2 linked regions of the Nothobranchius furzeri genome follow. The protein of the gene in region 1 purifies or fractionates together with the protein of each later gene. This does not show direct contact. Links are inferred from orthologs where the notes say so. Each region holds a gene or a part of one and is shown on either strand. Other genes may lie near its edges.

Region 1 (7,605 bases):
CTGCAGCAGCCGCGTCAGTTTACTGTCTCTGTACGGCACACGGCCAGAGGCGGAGTTCAGGGCGTCCACTACTTTGCTGAGCGTGAAGAGAGACAGGTTGATGGCACCGCTCTCCTTCAGACGGATGCCTTGGTTGCCCGTGCGGCGGTTGTCCTCTGAGCCAGCCAAGTCCACCAAGTACAGCTTTCCCGTCTGCTGTCTGTGGGGTAGAGGACGCTGAGTCCGCACAACCTGGATCATTGGTAAAGATGGGGGTTAATGTGGGGTTAGGAGAGACAGAAGAAGGCAGATTAGATGAGATTGAGATAGAAAAAAAAAGACAAAAAGACGAACATCTGACAGCAAACACGGGGTTGTTTCTCTCCCATAGATGTCCCAAACAGCACGTGTTGCTTGTGGGATTGTTGCAAGAGAGAACTGCTGTTAGCACCAGCTACCAAATCCTGGTCTACCGCTCAGAGACCACGACCTGTTTAAGATGCTGTTTTCCCATGGAGCAGTTCAAACATCAAGAAGACTATATAGTGAACCATATCAAACCTTGATGAGCAGAATGGCGTGACTGCGGCTGGAGCGTTGGTTTAGTTTGGTAGACGCTGTGGTGCGTTTGAGGGTAGCAGGAACAAAGTACTTATCGAAATCACAGGAGGAGGAGATGACTGTGTGGGTGAGACCTGGTATTAAAATGTTCTTGTCTTTGTCTTCTCTGATGGGCAAATCCTGCGAGTTCTGAGATAGAAGATCGAGAACCTGAGAAAACGAGAGAGGAAAGTTGTGAAGATCGCCCAAAACACGACCTCTTTAGATGTTTTAGTCTGCAGGTGTAACTGGTGTCTACAGCTCCCAGTCAGCAGGACACCCAGTTGAAACGGTGCTTTTGGCTCAACAGTGTCATGGTATTCCATGTAGGTTTGAATGAAGGCAACTGAATGCGTTTGTTTCTTGAGGACATCTCTCATCTGAAGAGCTTGGTCAGTTCTATAGGAACATGCAGAGTTGTTGCTTAACTAGCTGAAATTGCATTTGAATCCCCCTCCTACCTACCCTCGGAGGAGCGGCCGTTATCAGTGGAGACGGGCTTGTTTCCCCCGTCAGAACTTCCGGGTAGTTTTGCAGCACGTTAAATTATGACACGTCTCTAAATAAAGTTACATTTTCTAGTGCAGAGAGGAGACAATCCATGGAAGCACTGATTTGATCTCATTTCAGAGAAAAATAGAACAGGTCAGATGCACCTAATAAATAAAATTACTAACAAACCCAGGAATCTGTTTCTTTGCTTCACTGTTCTGGTGCTGAGAATATCACTAATGCGGATCAAAGGAGATACACAGATGAATGCACCTCTTATTTATTATTTGGAGACTACATTTACTGCAGCTGGCAGAGATTTATTCTATTGATACACGGAATTTACAGAATCATTTTAAATGTTAATAGGGGAAGACTGCAGGAGGGAGCTGTAAAATACAGGGGGTCCCCAGCAAAAACAAGAAACTTTACAAGTCTGATGAAACCCGCTGATTTTCCATCAGGCAGTCACGGGGCAGCTCCAACGACCCAGTGGCTGTGCTGGTCATGTTATTGAGCTCAGTCCGGCTCGGCCGTGAACGAGCCGAGGCGACGTCGTGTTCTGCTTAAGAAGAAGTGTCCAACGTGTTTTTACGCTTTCTCCGAGACATGTCACGTCACTAAGTTGTTAACGCCGCGCGCTAACATGTCAACAGTGCAGCGTAGCCTGCTGGAGGTTTTAAGGGTTCAGATGAAAACACCCAACCTCTCAGGCTGCTCACACATCGATCTTAAGTTGTCGCTGTTGCGCTCACGCCGTAATACAGTACTAGATGCGGTTAAAGTCAGTCATGAAAAAATAAATTTTACATGAGTAAGTGATGCTTAGCCTGGTGGGGGGAGGAAAACCTGGCCTAATAAGCACTGGAGGAAACCCTGTCAAGATCGTCAACACTCGTTTATCTTAATGCTATTGAAACATGTAAACCAACAAGCATTATATCCACTGCTACCTTTCTAATTTTAAACTCAGTAACTATTGCTGTAACTTCACCTTGCCCTGCCTGATCCTCCTTGCTGCCCGCCGGCTGTGATCACAAGCGGCAACATAGTAGTTCCCGCTGCTTCTTCGGGAAACAGCGCCAAAAATAAATAAATAAAACTTGGGATCTTGTAGGCGTGGCGGTGGGATTTCAGCCGTGGCGGGCCGCCACGGCTGAAATCCTGGGAGGACAAAACAGGTGACGCGCCTTGCTCCACAGCAGCGAAAAGCATCAGGCACAAATAAAGTAAAAGACAGAAAACATAAAAGGAAATGAGCCGACATGAACGATCGCGTGTTCAATTTGTTTTTGAGGTGGCGACACCTGATTTGATAACGTTACTCAGGACGCAGATGTCTGGAGCACGTCAACAATCAGAGCTTTGCATGCGCAAGCTAGTTAAGGGTAGGATGGGGGTGAGGGGAATGTTAAATTGCAAGAGGGTAAAGGTCACAATTTGGTTAAATGTCCGTTTTACGGCGGGTGTCAGTACCGACGCTCTGGCACAGTGCGTCGCCTCCCGACACGCAGGAGCTTGTCACCTGCTGACAGCAGGCTGCTGTCTTTTCCGTGGACTACATCTTGCCGGTCATTATCACGTGACAGCGACTAGTCGATGACAGGCATAAAAAGTCACTATAGTGAAGTCGACTAGTGACTAGTTCATACAACCCCTGCTACTGCTCCCCAGAGTGTTCTGCAGTATAATCAGCACGTTCTCTTTGAACTTGATATCAAATTTTCGCCTCCTCTTCGTCTCCGCACCGTTAAAGTTACCCTCGCAGTCTATCACTGGCAAATCAAAAGTGAGACGATGACACAACCGCGCCCCCCCCCCCCCCCTCGTGGTACTTGCTTGTTACCACATTTCACCTGGCCACAATAAAAAACCGACCATTATTCACCTCCGCCAACTCAGACACCGGCCAAAATGTGATACCCGGCAGTTAACTGAATACAGGCCAATATTAGAGGATTTACGGTACTCTGTTTTTCCACAGAAAAACACATTTGTCCCGTCAACACAAGTTTAAACTAAATCCAAAGGAAATTCAGATTTCCCAGCTTCCACCCAGTATTCAAATGCACCATACACACACAAATCAGTCAGGTGAGAAAAGAGTCTCAAAAGGATTGTTGTACTTGTAAACTGATCTGTGTGTAATGTCATTTTGTCTGAGTGTACCAGGTGGTTTATGTGTGTAATTAAAGATTTTAGGGGTGTAACGGTGCGGTAACGATAAAATAGTATTCAGTTCGGTGTTTTGAAGAGCTTGGTTTGATTCATTTTTGGTATATTATTATATTTATTTATTCTAAAGCGGCTCCTACAGTGAGCAGAACCAGGTGTCATCACAGGCTGCTGATCTAGCATGATGTCTTCAATTATTTTCACAGGTTATTTGCGCATGAGTCTAGAATATTGAACCTTTTCACAATATTCTAATAGTCTGAGATTTTGAATGTGGGGTTTCATTAAGCTGTAAGCCATAATCATCAGTTATAACAAGGGCTTGAAATATCTGGCTTTGCATGTAATTAAGTTTTTTTTAATGTATTAGTTTCACCTTTAATCTGCTTTTGCATCATATTCTAATATTTTGAGCTTCATCTGTACAGTGATTCCCAACCTGAGGAGACTGGAGACCACTGTGCATACAGTAATGATGTAACCGGGACAAACAAACCTTTTCATTATAAATTTCCAAATATGACATTCCTACGCTGTAGTCCCATCCTTCATCCTGATCCGTGGCTCGGACCAGATTAAAGACCTCCTCAACAGCTAGAGGGATCACGCCAGGCTGCTCTGGACTTCCCAACATGGTGTGAGTCTTACCTGTGAATGAAGCCATGCAGGTTAATGTTAGGAAGAAAAACACACTTATTCCAGTGACAATGGCACCAGAACACACCAGCTCCTGTTGGCCCATAAGCAAACACGCTGGCGTTTTGTCCTTTCAGTATATTTGGTAGAATCGACTTCACTGATGAGAGGAAAACCTCTTCCTGTGTTGTGTCCTCTCCGTGGAAAACATCGAAGCTGGAACAAAAACCAAACCATGTTTAGAGTCAAATGTCGTGAGGAGAGGAGGACACTTGGGAGAGTGATACTGACTGGTATTTCACAGTTTCTGTTGCATTCCTCCAGTTGACTATCTCCAGGTTCTGGGAGTCCAGGCCTCTGACACACGGACCCTCGTGTTTATCATCTTGTTTGCTCATGTAAGGCCGCAGACGAACCGCTACCCGAACCCGGGAGGTCTTCTTGTTTCCACCATCTGCTACCAACACACGCTGCGCCATCTTCACACAAACAAAGGCCTGGATAACGAAAAAGCCAGAGTGATGTTCATCCACTTTATCAAACTCTATGCCACGCGAATATTTAGTATAATACACACCAGTAAATGCATGAACAGAGCATAAATGGAGTATTTGAAGGTAAGCTCTAGGTTTTCATCATTGCGTCACGAGAAGCAAACACACGAAAGGAGGTAATGTTGTTTCCAAACTAATGTTTCCTCGAAATCTGCCACTCCGCTTTTTTAAGTTTATTGGGGAAAGCTTACCGTTAAAAACGTCTTCCAAAAAACGCGTTTTTATCGTCCAAACATTCCCAGCTTCTCCTTTTAACAATGGCGATGGGCCAAAACTTCTAACTGAAAAAATTTTAAACGAAAAGACTGAGACCGGAAATGGGTTTTAACCAATCAGAGCTCGCGTGAACGCTGGCGCCTTTCAGCGATCTCATTAAGCGCTAAATAATTCATAAAACATAATTGTAGTTTTGTTGTATTTAATAGTATATTTTAAAAACTAGTATATTGAGTAAAAGTTAAATTAAAGAGGTTTTACTTTTCCCCTCCAAACAATACGAGTCGTTTAGCCACGGCACAGCTAACAGGAAGTTACGTTTAGCGTAGATTTCCACTTCATCTCCTTTCACATTTTAGACAGTAGAAGCCCTGGAATGACTTAGCCATACGCATTTAAATCAGCGGGATTTGGAGCCCGGTTAAACGCGACAACATCGTCAAGCAACCTATTCAGCCAAAATGGCGCTATGTTTATGTCCATGTTGAATCTTTTAATGCACTTAGCTAGCCTCATGGAGAGCTATGATGATCCCATCACTTGGGAATTACTTTAAAATCAAATTTTAACGTGACCAACGCTGACTCACGACAAATCGGTAATAACAATGAAGGATTTCCTTTATTTCTGCGGTGCGGTTTGACGTTAGCTAGCCCAGTAGGAATAAAACAAATAAACCTAAATATTCTCAAATTGCTTATTACGCTTTAGTAACAGGCGTAACTTGACTCGTTACCCGTGTAAATAATAACTGCCATTATCTCCCATTGCTAATTATTATCAAACATGCTGCTGTTTCGCAGATCCTATTAAAGTTGTCCAGCAGCAGGTAGGATGCAGACTGAAGTCACCAACTCTTCTCTTAGAGAGGGTGTTGAGGCTCTAGGTGTGAATGATCCAGAGAAATCTGCTGCAGACCAGGAGGAAGGCGGCCTAGAGAAGCAACAGGACTCAGAGATGACAGCTGTCACAGAGGAGAAAGACACCACTGCAAAGGATGACACAGGTAACTCCCTTAAAGGATAAATAACTTTGTAAACTCTTGGAGTCAGAAATCCGTCTGATTAGCACCAGATGTGGCCAAAAGCAATCACTCAAAGGCTGTATCAGTAAATAACAAGCCACATAAAGAATAGGGCTGCTCAATTGTGAATAATAATCAGAAATATTGTGTTTTTGGTCAATATTTAATTCCCAAGTATTTAACTAGATTACTTCTTCAGTTAGGACACACTTGTATTTATCATTTGCAGTTATAAAAAAAATACACCAAAAAAAGTCAAATGATGCCACAAACACACTTGACACACCAGACCTTGTAAAATGATCTGTGTTCACTTTACTCAAATTCTCCTTACTTCTATGTTTTGAACGAACGAACTTTTGAAATAAATACTCAAAACCATAACTCGTAATAGCAGAGCAATCATGTGATGCTTAAAATAGCTAGAGTTCACATTTTAAGACAAGTGCAGATACAGGATTACACCAGCAGGTGAAGGAGTGACCAATAAAACTTATGAGGGTTTAAGTATCTGAATTTACCACAGTAGAATTAATCTAGGACACCATGAATAGGAAAATAATTAAACTCGTGTTTTGTAACATTTAGTTGTTAAAACACAGACACCAGCTAAATAAACTAATTTCTTCTGAGTCAGTCTCATGAATAAAACATGTCCAGATATCCAAGCAGGAAGTAAGTGGGCATCAAAGTGTCTTTTTTAAATACCAACATATTACACAGGCTTTGGAAGATGCAGAAGTGTACTTCATTAGTAAAGAAGAACAAAATGAGAGTGCTTGCAACATAAAATAAGACAAACATAAATAACTTCTTATTACATTGTGTCAAAAAATACATTTGTGTACTTTTCTGTCTTCTCAGATGAGAACACAGAGGTGGTGGAAGGAGGGACACAAGAGAATGAACCTCAGGGGGAAGCAGGAGGGGATGCTGAAGAGGGGAAGCTGGCTGCCGGAGCAGACGACGAGTGGGAGCTTCCCTACAGCGACGAGGAAATGGAGGACCCCAAAAACTGGATGCCTGCTCCTCCTGAGATCAAAAGACTTTATGATATCCTCGCTAAAGGGGAGATGCTGGAATTGAACTTTGTGCCCCTTCCTAGAAGGCCTCCCACACCTGAACGCACCCCTTCACCCGAGAGAGACGAAGAGGAGGAGGCAGCAAAGGAAAGGGAGAGGCTGGAAAGGGAATGCAAGTCAGTAGCTCTCCTTTCTTTTTCTTATCTTCTGTTATTTGGATAAATTTGATTTACCACTCCCCCCCCACCCCCCCACCCCCAGGCCTCCGTCTCCAACAGAGTTTGACTTTGATGAGGAGCAACTTCATTCAACTCCTAAAAACTCCTTCATAAACAGACGCAGAACACCAGGTTTGATGATTTATTTTTTTATATCCTGATTTCCTGGGTTCAGCGAGGAAAGCCAAACTGTTTCCTCCCTGCATTCCAGGCTCGTCAGCTCGCTCCTCTGTGAAGAGAGAAGCTCGTCTGGACAAAGTGCTGTCGGACATGAAGCGCCACCGCAAAATTGAGGAGCAAATCAGGCGCACGGGCAGAGATCTATTCAAGACCGAGAAGAAGGTGGAGGAGGCCCTTTCCCCAAACAGCCAGAAGGAGCGGGAGAAGGAGAGGGAGCGAGACAGCAACCCAGACACCATCTTCTCCCCGAGACAGAGGAGATACTGAAGTATTCAGTCCCAGAAGCAATCAAGAGCTTCTCAGGGCTCTCGCAAGACTTTCATTTTCTAATGTTCACGTTTTGTATGTTTTTTGTATGATGGCAATAAAGCTTTTAACTTTTAACACTGTTAACTGGGTCATGATAACTAATTAAAAAGAAGTTGGGTTTAAAATCTAGAACCTCAGTTTTCATGTTAAGGTGTACATATAAGAAGGCAAATCATAATCTGAATCTAAATAACAGAAAA
Region 2 (7,736 bases), on another chromosome or scaffold:
AGCTTATACAGATGTGTAACAGATGATTGTTAAAAGTAAATGTTACATAGAAAAATAAAACTTTGAATCCCAGCTTGTAAAATGTTATCGGGGGTGCAATAAAATAATTATCATTTAATTATTCTGCTTCCTTTTTTCTTTGGCACGTAAAAACTAGACATGAAATCTGTGTTCCACAAAAAAAATTGACTTTAATATGTTGCTTTTTTTTCTTTTTCTAATAAAAATCTGCAGTAATTTAAATATTTAGACCTTTTGGCTTCAAAGCCAGATGATTGGATGACATTGGGAACCTAAGACCAAAGAATAAGATTAATTTAGCTGCAAACATAACGTAATGTTTAATCCATCTAACCATTATCGTCCACTTCTCCGGAGTCAGGTCTTGGAGGCAGCAGCCTAAGCAGACTTCCCTCTCCCCAGTCACATGGCCAGCTCCTCCGGGGGAATCCCAAGGTGTTCCCTGGCCAGGTTGAGCGGGTTGTCCAGTAATCGGAAGGTTGCAGGTTCGATCCTGGCTCCGGACAGAGAATTCTGCTGTTGTGTCCTTGGGCAAGACACTTAACCCAACTTGCCTGCTGGTGGTGGTCGGAGGGGCCGGTGGCGCCAGTGCTCGGCAGCCTCGCCTCTGTCAGTGCGCCCCAGGGCAGATGTGGCTACATCGTAGCTCATCATCATCAGTGTGCGAATGTGTGTGTGAGTGGATGATGATGCACTGTAGTGTAAAGCGCTTTAGAATCCTTACTCTGAAAGGCGCTATACAAGTGCGGGTCATTTGTCATCATGGTTTATAGTCCCTCCAGAGTGTCCTGGTCTAACTTTAGGCCTCCTCCCAGTTGGACGTGCCCGGAAAACCTCACCAGGGAGGCGTCCAGGAGGCATCCTAATCAGGTGCCCGAGCCACCTCAACTGGCTCCTCTCGATGTGGAGGAGCAGCAGATCTACTCTGGGCCCCTCCCAGATGACCGTTCTTTTGGTCACCACCCAAAGCTAGTGACCATAGATGAGGGTAGGAAAGTAGATCGAGAGCTCTGCTTCTGTCTCAGCTCTCTCTTCACCGCGACAGATTGGTACAACGTCCGCATCACTGCAGACACTCCATCTTTCAGGACCTCATCCCCGACCTGGAGAAGGCATTCTACCCTTTTCCGAATTTAGAGGAGGTAATTCTCATCCCAGCTGCCTCACACTGCTGCGAACCGCTCCGGTGAAAGCTAGAGATCACGTTCTGACGAAGCCAACAGACATCAAAACATTAATAAATCACCTACAGACTCAGAACTGAGGCACTTACACGTCATGATCAATGCTTTCTGTAAAGATGAAATCTGACATAAATGCTGCAGATCATTTCTGCCTGGAGGCTTTTGCAGAACAAACACGTCAAAGATAACACCACGTTAATCCGTCAGCCGCTCCATTCAGCCAAAATATAACCGATGTCACCGTTGTGAAGGAAACACAATCTTCTCCTGGCTTCCTGTCTGACGGCTGGAGACAGGTGTAACCGTGTCTGTCCTCCATAGTTGCACAGTCACTTTGGTTATAAATAGCTCTACCGAAAGTAGTGGAGGGACAAGAAGGGGAGGGATCTCTGGGTCCTCGTAAAAGACCAAATACAGGAAGACAACACCGTTCACACAGTCGCACAAAAGGAAGAGGACGACGAGACCCTTTTCACATTTCAGTCACGGGTACCCATGCATCCCAGCCTCAGAAACAAGTGCAAGTCCTCATGCTGGGCCTAGATGGCTCAGGAAAGACTTCCCTGCTCTACAAGCTGAAATACAACGAGAATGTGGTTACCGTACCGACCGCTGGTTTCACCGTGGAGTCCTTGGAGATCGACGGGAAAAGCCCAGAGCTGACGGTGTGGGATGTTGGTGGTCAGAGGAAGATGAGGCCTCACTGGAGGCATTACTACTATGAAACAGCTGGCCTGATGTTTGCGGTGGACAGCCAGAACGAGAGACGGCTGGACGAGGCTCGCAAAGAACTGCACAGGGTAGCTACGAAAGAAACTGTTTTGTTATACAATGAAGGTTTCATGTGAAAAGTTTTTAACTGTAACAAAAACGGATCTCCTCTACCTCTCAGGTCCTGAGGCAGGACAGTCTCAGAGGAGTTCCTCTTGTGGTTCTGGCCAACAAACAGGCTCTACCAGATGCTCTGAGCCCCCAATCACTGTCTGTGAAACTGGACTTGAGGGGTGGGTGTGGCGGGCCGGGCGTGGTTCGTCCAGCCCTCCTCAGCCAACACTGGGACGGGACTGGAAGAAGGTTTCATGAGGACGGTTTATCTGATGAAGACCCCTTTCAGACAGACTCAGGACGACATTAAGGTTCAGATGAGATCTAAAGGCTTCGGTTTCGCAGCAGTGAAGCGATTCTGTGGCAGCTGATTACAGGACGATTACTTTTGATGTTTGATTCCTGTCGTCTTTCATCCAACTGAAACCAACTGCGAGGTCAAAGGATGATGCTAACGCAGAGATTAGAGTTAATCCGTGTGGTGAAACTGCTGCGGGGTGAAGAGGCGGGAGGAAAAAAACTGTGAGGGGTTTGTGAAAAATCTGGGATTATTGGGGTGGATTTGAGAAAGCCGTCATGAGGGGCCTTGAGACAGTTCTCTGAAACTACAAATGTATATGAATAAATTAGCAAATAAGGTTTAGATATATTTTATCACTATAAATCATTTTCTTGTGTTTTATATTATTTGAAAATCAAGTTTATTTTGAGCAAATGTCATCTTACAATAAAGGAAGTTCATGTATTTGATCATATTCAGTGTGTTTGTGATTTTTTTAAACCTGCAAAAATGATAATGATGCATTAGCTTCTGATAGAAAACAGACGGTCTAACTGTGGGATTAGAAAAGCCTGACAGATCTACGTCACACTGTCACTTAACAGTCATGGACTCACCCATCTTGGCTCACAATGGGGAAGGCTGTTGTTGGTTTAACGTCCAGGAAACAGCAGAGAACGTCCCGACTAGCAGAAGCTAACATTAGCATTAGCAACTCCACCACACAGCAGAGCACCTCCACGCTTGTGTTATATGTGGAAAAAAACATCATGGTTGCAAAGCAAATGAAGTTGGTGGTAGAGTCGTGTTGCTGTTAGCCAATCAGAGGCGAGATGTCCAAATATCAGGAAATGTTTTACTTCCTGAAACTGGGTCTGTGCTTTTTAATAACCAAGTACGACTTTCATTCACTAATTAATTACTAGAATGAAGCCACAGCAAATGTATTGATGAAGCGTGTGCCCCACATCTTTAAATGCAAATGAATTCTGAAGTAAATCAAATTTCTAAATACCATTGCACTCTTATATATTGACAGATATCATTTATATACAGAGGAAATTTCACTCATAATTGTTTAATAAAACTTAATTAAACATTTTTCCGCATTTCCTGTTTGTTATTTTGTCTTTTTATTATTGATCACATCATGTTATTGTTGAATTTGAGCAACACAAAGGGTAAAATAAGGAGAGGGAGGGTTCTCTGTCTTATGACGTTTTTCATTTGCATGGAAGACAAATAACACCTTCTGTAAAGTCAAACCTGCTATATTACTCCGCTAGTGTAAAACACTAAAGTATTTTGTTTCCATAACAAATCTATATTATGGTGCAGTGATAATTGACCAGATGTGACCTTTTTCTTCCAGTAAACTTCATGCGTTTTGCCTACATGTGATGCGGTGCTCCCACCGCCACGGACGTTGGCAGTGAAACCAATGAGAGCGGAGTGGAGGGGATTTCCCCACCCTTCCTCTACGACACAGCGAGGCGCCCCCCCCTCCACCACCGGCATTCCCAGTATGCACCGCGGACAGAGCAGCGAAAAGTAGTCCGCTAACGAAACGCCGTGAAACGGGAACAAGAAAAAAAGAGGGTAGCTCGCCCGCTAAATTCACGAGTCGAACTGTGTATTTAACGTGACCAGAACAGCAAACATGGCTGACAACGAGAAACTGGACAACCAGCGGCTGAAGAATTTCAAGAACAAGGGTCGAGATTTGGAGGTAAAAGTTGTGCGGATAAGGTGTTTAGGCTCGCCGCTGCTAGCTGCTGCGTTCACGGCCAGCCTTGCCTCTCGGCTGCGCTGTGACGTCGTTTCTAATTTCCACCATCGGGATCTCTGCTGCCAGAGCCCGGCCAAGGCCTTCACGAATCGACCGTTAAGCACCGTTGGCTTTTGGCAGAGTGGCTTCTTGTTCGGTTTCTATCGTTTTGTTACACCGTTAGACCGCATTGCTTAAGAAACATGTCAGAAAAGCCTCCGCTGGATGTGCCAGGGCCGCGGGGGGACATGCGAGCTCAACTGAAGCATTTCACCCCCGAGTCGGTTTAGTTCGGTGTAATATGTCACATATATCAGTAAAAGTACACCTAATTGACCCAGGTTGTCTCCTTTTGAGATATAATATCGATAAACACGCCAGCCTAGCGGCGGATTAATGTAGTTTAATACCGCAGTAAGCTAACTTGCGTGCTAGCTGAGCTCGCGCTGGTTGCATTTCCACCCATCCCCCGTCTCTACAACCAAAAACAATGGCGGAAACCAGTTAGCCGTTTAGCTGACCAGTTACCTGGATCTTAACGTCATGCGTGTGTGTTCCATTGTTTTGTTTATCACCAACGAATATTTAGAAATCTATAAACACCTGGTCGACCTCGTGACATGGTAGATCAAGCTACACGTTAGCAAACGTCAGATCAATACTAGGTGAGTTACTGTCAGCCCGGCGTGTCTCATTGTCTCATGTGAGCGTATGGTAGCGAAATAAGGTCTCGGGCGGGATTTTACCTTACGGGTGTTTATAGGCGGGATGTGCCCGTACATCCTGCTTGACAAGTCGTTACTTTCTCTGAAGAAGCAGGCCTCAAGAGTCGTATCGCTCATCGATTTGTCAATAACTTTAGCTACAAGTATGGAAGAGGTTCGGAGGAGGTGGACACACCCAGACTCCTCAGTGAGCAGAAACTTCAGACTTATTTCATTACCATACTGAAATAACGTGTATTTAATCGTTTGATCACGTGACTAAATACGTTGCTCACTCACATTGCATCAAGTGTTTAGATTCGTTTGCAAATAACCAGGAAGATTAAAAAGTGGCATTTAGGCAACATAAACCACTGAATCTTCGAGATCCTGAAATAAAATAGTCTTGATGCAATCATCATCAACTCTGCACGATAACATCTGACACCATTCAAGTTAATTCAAGCTACAGATCGACTGATATGGGTTTTTTCTATTGCAGATACCAATGCCCACTGGTAGGGGTCATGGTCAGCCAATGGCCGATATCTAGACTTTTTCCACCATAACTCTTTGCTAAAATGTCACTAATAACGGGATGCACAACATTCATGAACCTAATCAGTTGACACAGAATTTGACATCATGAATCATAATTTTACGCTCTGCGTGGTATTAAAATCAATCTTTTAACCAACGTTTATCAAAAAGAAAACAAAAACCTGACTAAGTATTAAATATGCAAACCAGGTAAATAAGAATAAATGTCAGTTGACAATGTTTTCGAGAATTTATTAATCAGATGCTATTAAAGAGCAAGTCACTCCAAATCAACATTTTTTTCTCCTGATAAACTATATAAATGAGTGCCTAATCGTGCTGCAGACACGTGTAGTCAATAATTCGGCACTTTAGTGCATCTTAGTTAAAATTTAAATATTCTGCCTAAAACTGTCAGTGTTGCACCGTCGTCAGGTAAAAACTCAGCACTGCATTTGAATTTAAATCTGCCGTCGCTATTGGCTAAGAGGTACACTATGATGTTAGATGGTACATTATAATGTCACAATGCCGTGAGTGTGTGTATTTGTTAGCGGCTCAACCCTCTCGGTCTGCTAGGCAACAGCATTTGTTGCATTTTTCAAACAGGAAGTGGGAGTTGAGTAAGAATCTGGTAGGGGGTGACTTGCTCTTTAAGGAGGGTAAACATAAAATTGTGTAGTGGAATCGGGCTGCCCACTGATGTGCTTGACTTCAAATCAGCTTTAGTATAGTGAAAGGTAAATTACAGCTCCATTTTTTTTGGTCCATCCCCAATTCAACCTGTCATATTTAATGGCATAGGTGATTGTTTGTCATTAGACAAGAAAACAAGAAAATGTGGATTGTATCCCACTTCCTACTCCACATTTGTGTGGAGAAGCTACATCATAGCGGTCCAAGTTTGGTACAATGCTGCATGTAATAATTTATTTTAAATTAGCACATTTTTATAATTAGCATGGAAACATTGTGGTGATTCTTAAAAGTGTTTAATACAAATTTTCTCTGTTTCAGTTTTAAGTTGGATCCAAAATGTATTTTTGGACCAATTTAAGATCTTTTTTATCAAGCTTCTAATATTATAGACAATATGATAGCTTAGCTTATCAAACAACCTTTAATCTACTTTGTAACCTGTTAATACAAATGCTGTAGTCGAATGGACGTAGTAACCTTAAACCAGAAATAAAGTGTACACAAAAATGACTTGTGCTCACAAATGTATCCAGCTAAAAGTCATTTTTGGGTTTGTACCAGACTCGTGCATTGAAGAGGAGGAGTGCTTTTATATAACTAACGTAGCAGGATAAAATAAATCATTAGCGTTTGTAACATTAGAGGGAAAATGTGGCATACAAACGTGTACTAAAGGTAAAGTCACCACCACTACTGTTGTTGCTACACCTACAAGTAAATACATACAAGTAACTCTCTGTTGATGTTAGCAGCTAACAAGAGGTTATTAGCTTACAGAGGCGACTCTTTGCGCTCTGCCATGACGTGCTCGTCCATCGCAGATGTGCGCCCATGAATGTAGAGTTTCACTTTGCAGATTTTGCACTGTGCATGCTTCTCGTTTATTTGTCGTTGTAAAACGCTCTGCACCTTCTGAGCTATGCTGTGGACTCGCCATGATGTCATCTTTCGCCGGTTATTCTTGATTCAAAGGCTGATCTGGACGGCCACGACTGCGCTTGTGCCTCGAGCAGAAAGCAGCCACTGAAGGTGCCACAGAAAGCGTGATTTAATAAATGCTCATACAATAAATGATGTCGACTATTAAATTTCTAGTTGACTATCTTGTTTGTCAGCGTCGTCGTGATGAATCGACTAATCGTGGCAGCACTAATCGTGCCTCGTGATTGTGTCGCGCTTTACGAACACACAGCTAAACCGAAAACAATTAATAAAGCTAAATCTGCGAATTGAAGACTTTGTACACCTTTTAGTTAATTTAGTGAATAAATGTCAAAATCTTCAGTCACAGCAACTTTTGACTCATTTTCAGATGATTAAGCTTTTAGGTGACTTGATCATTACTGTTTTGGAATATTATTTTCCCCACTGAAGGTAAATATTTACCCTTTAAAATTTATAAATTATTGGTCGGTTCGGTTAAGAAACTGGATGAGGATTTGAGTTGGTCAATTGGTGACCTCTGAATGGGAAAATGATGTTTACACGCATATAAAATGTTGCTTTAGCTTAAATTCATGTTTTAACACGTTTTATGTCGTGTTCCTGCAGACCATGAGAAGACAGAGGACTGAAGTAGTGGTGGAACTCAGAAAGGTATATAATCTTGTTGAGATTTTTGTAGGCGTTTTATCTGCATACGATTTTAATATGTGCACGGTGATTTCTGTGCACCACAGAACAAGAGGGATGAACACCTTCTGAAGAGGAGAAAC

Evidence for each region. The genes of interacting proteins can lie anywhere in the genome.
Region 2: the proteins of kif22 (region 1) and kpna4 purify together in Homo sapiens (affinity purification with mass spectrometry; 3 studies listed by BioGRID and IntAct, counting the BioPlex papers as one, with this or other methods). This does not show direct contact. The link is inferred for Nothobranchius furzeri from reciprocal best matches to the Homo sapiens genes KIF22 and KPNA4.

Annotation. Positions count from the first base shown.
Region 1 is NC_091756.1:34,662,039-34,669,643, reverse strand, and holds the start of kif22 (kinesin-like protein KIF22), read right to left. Parts: upstream 4,753-7,605; 5' UTR 4,628-4,752; intron 4,380-4,627; 5' UTR 4,362-4,379; coding exon 4,174-4,361; intron 4,099-4,173; coding exon 3,971-4,098; intron 3,895-3,970; coding exon 3,743-3,894; intron 751-3,742; coding exon 541-750; intron 232-540; coding exon 1-231. Other genes in the region: pagr1 (PAXIP1-associated glutamate-rich protein 1), read left to right, coding at 5,487-5,658, 6,541-6,874, 6,960-7,048, 7,128-7,363. UniProt on the Homo sapiens protein: Kinesin family member that is involved in spindle formation and the movements of chromosomes during mitosis and meiosis. Binds to microtubules and to DNA. Plays a role in congression of laterally attached chromosomes in NDC80-depleted cells.
Region 2 is NC_091753.1:52,638,137-52,645,872, reverse strand, and holds the start of kpna4 (importin subunit alpha-3), read left to right. Parts: upstream 1-3,830; 5' UTR 3,831-3,970; coding exon 3,971-4,039; intron 4,040-7,572; coding exon 7,573-7,617; intron 7,618-7,700; coding exon 7,701-7,736. UniProt on the Homo sapiens protein: Functions in nuclear protein import as an adapter protein for nuclear receptor KPNB1. Binds specifically and directly to substrates containing either a simple or bipartite NLS motif.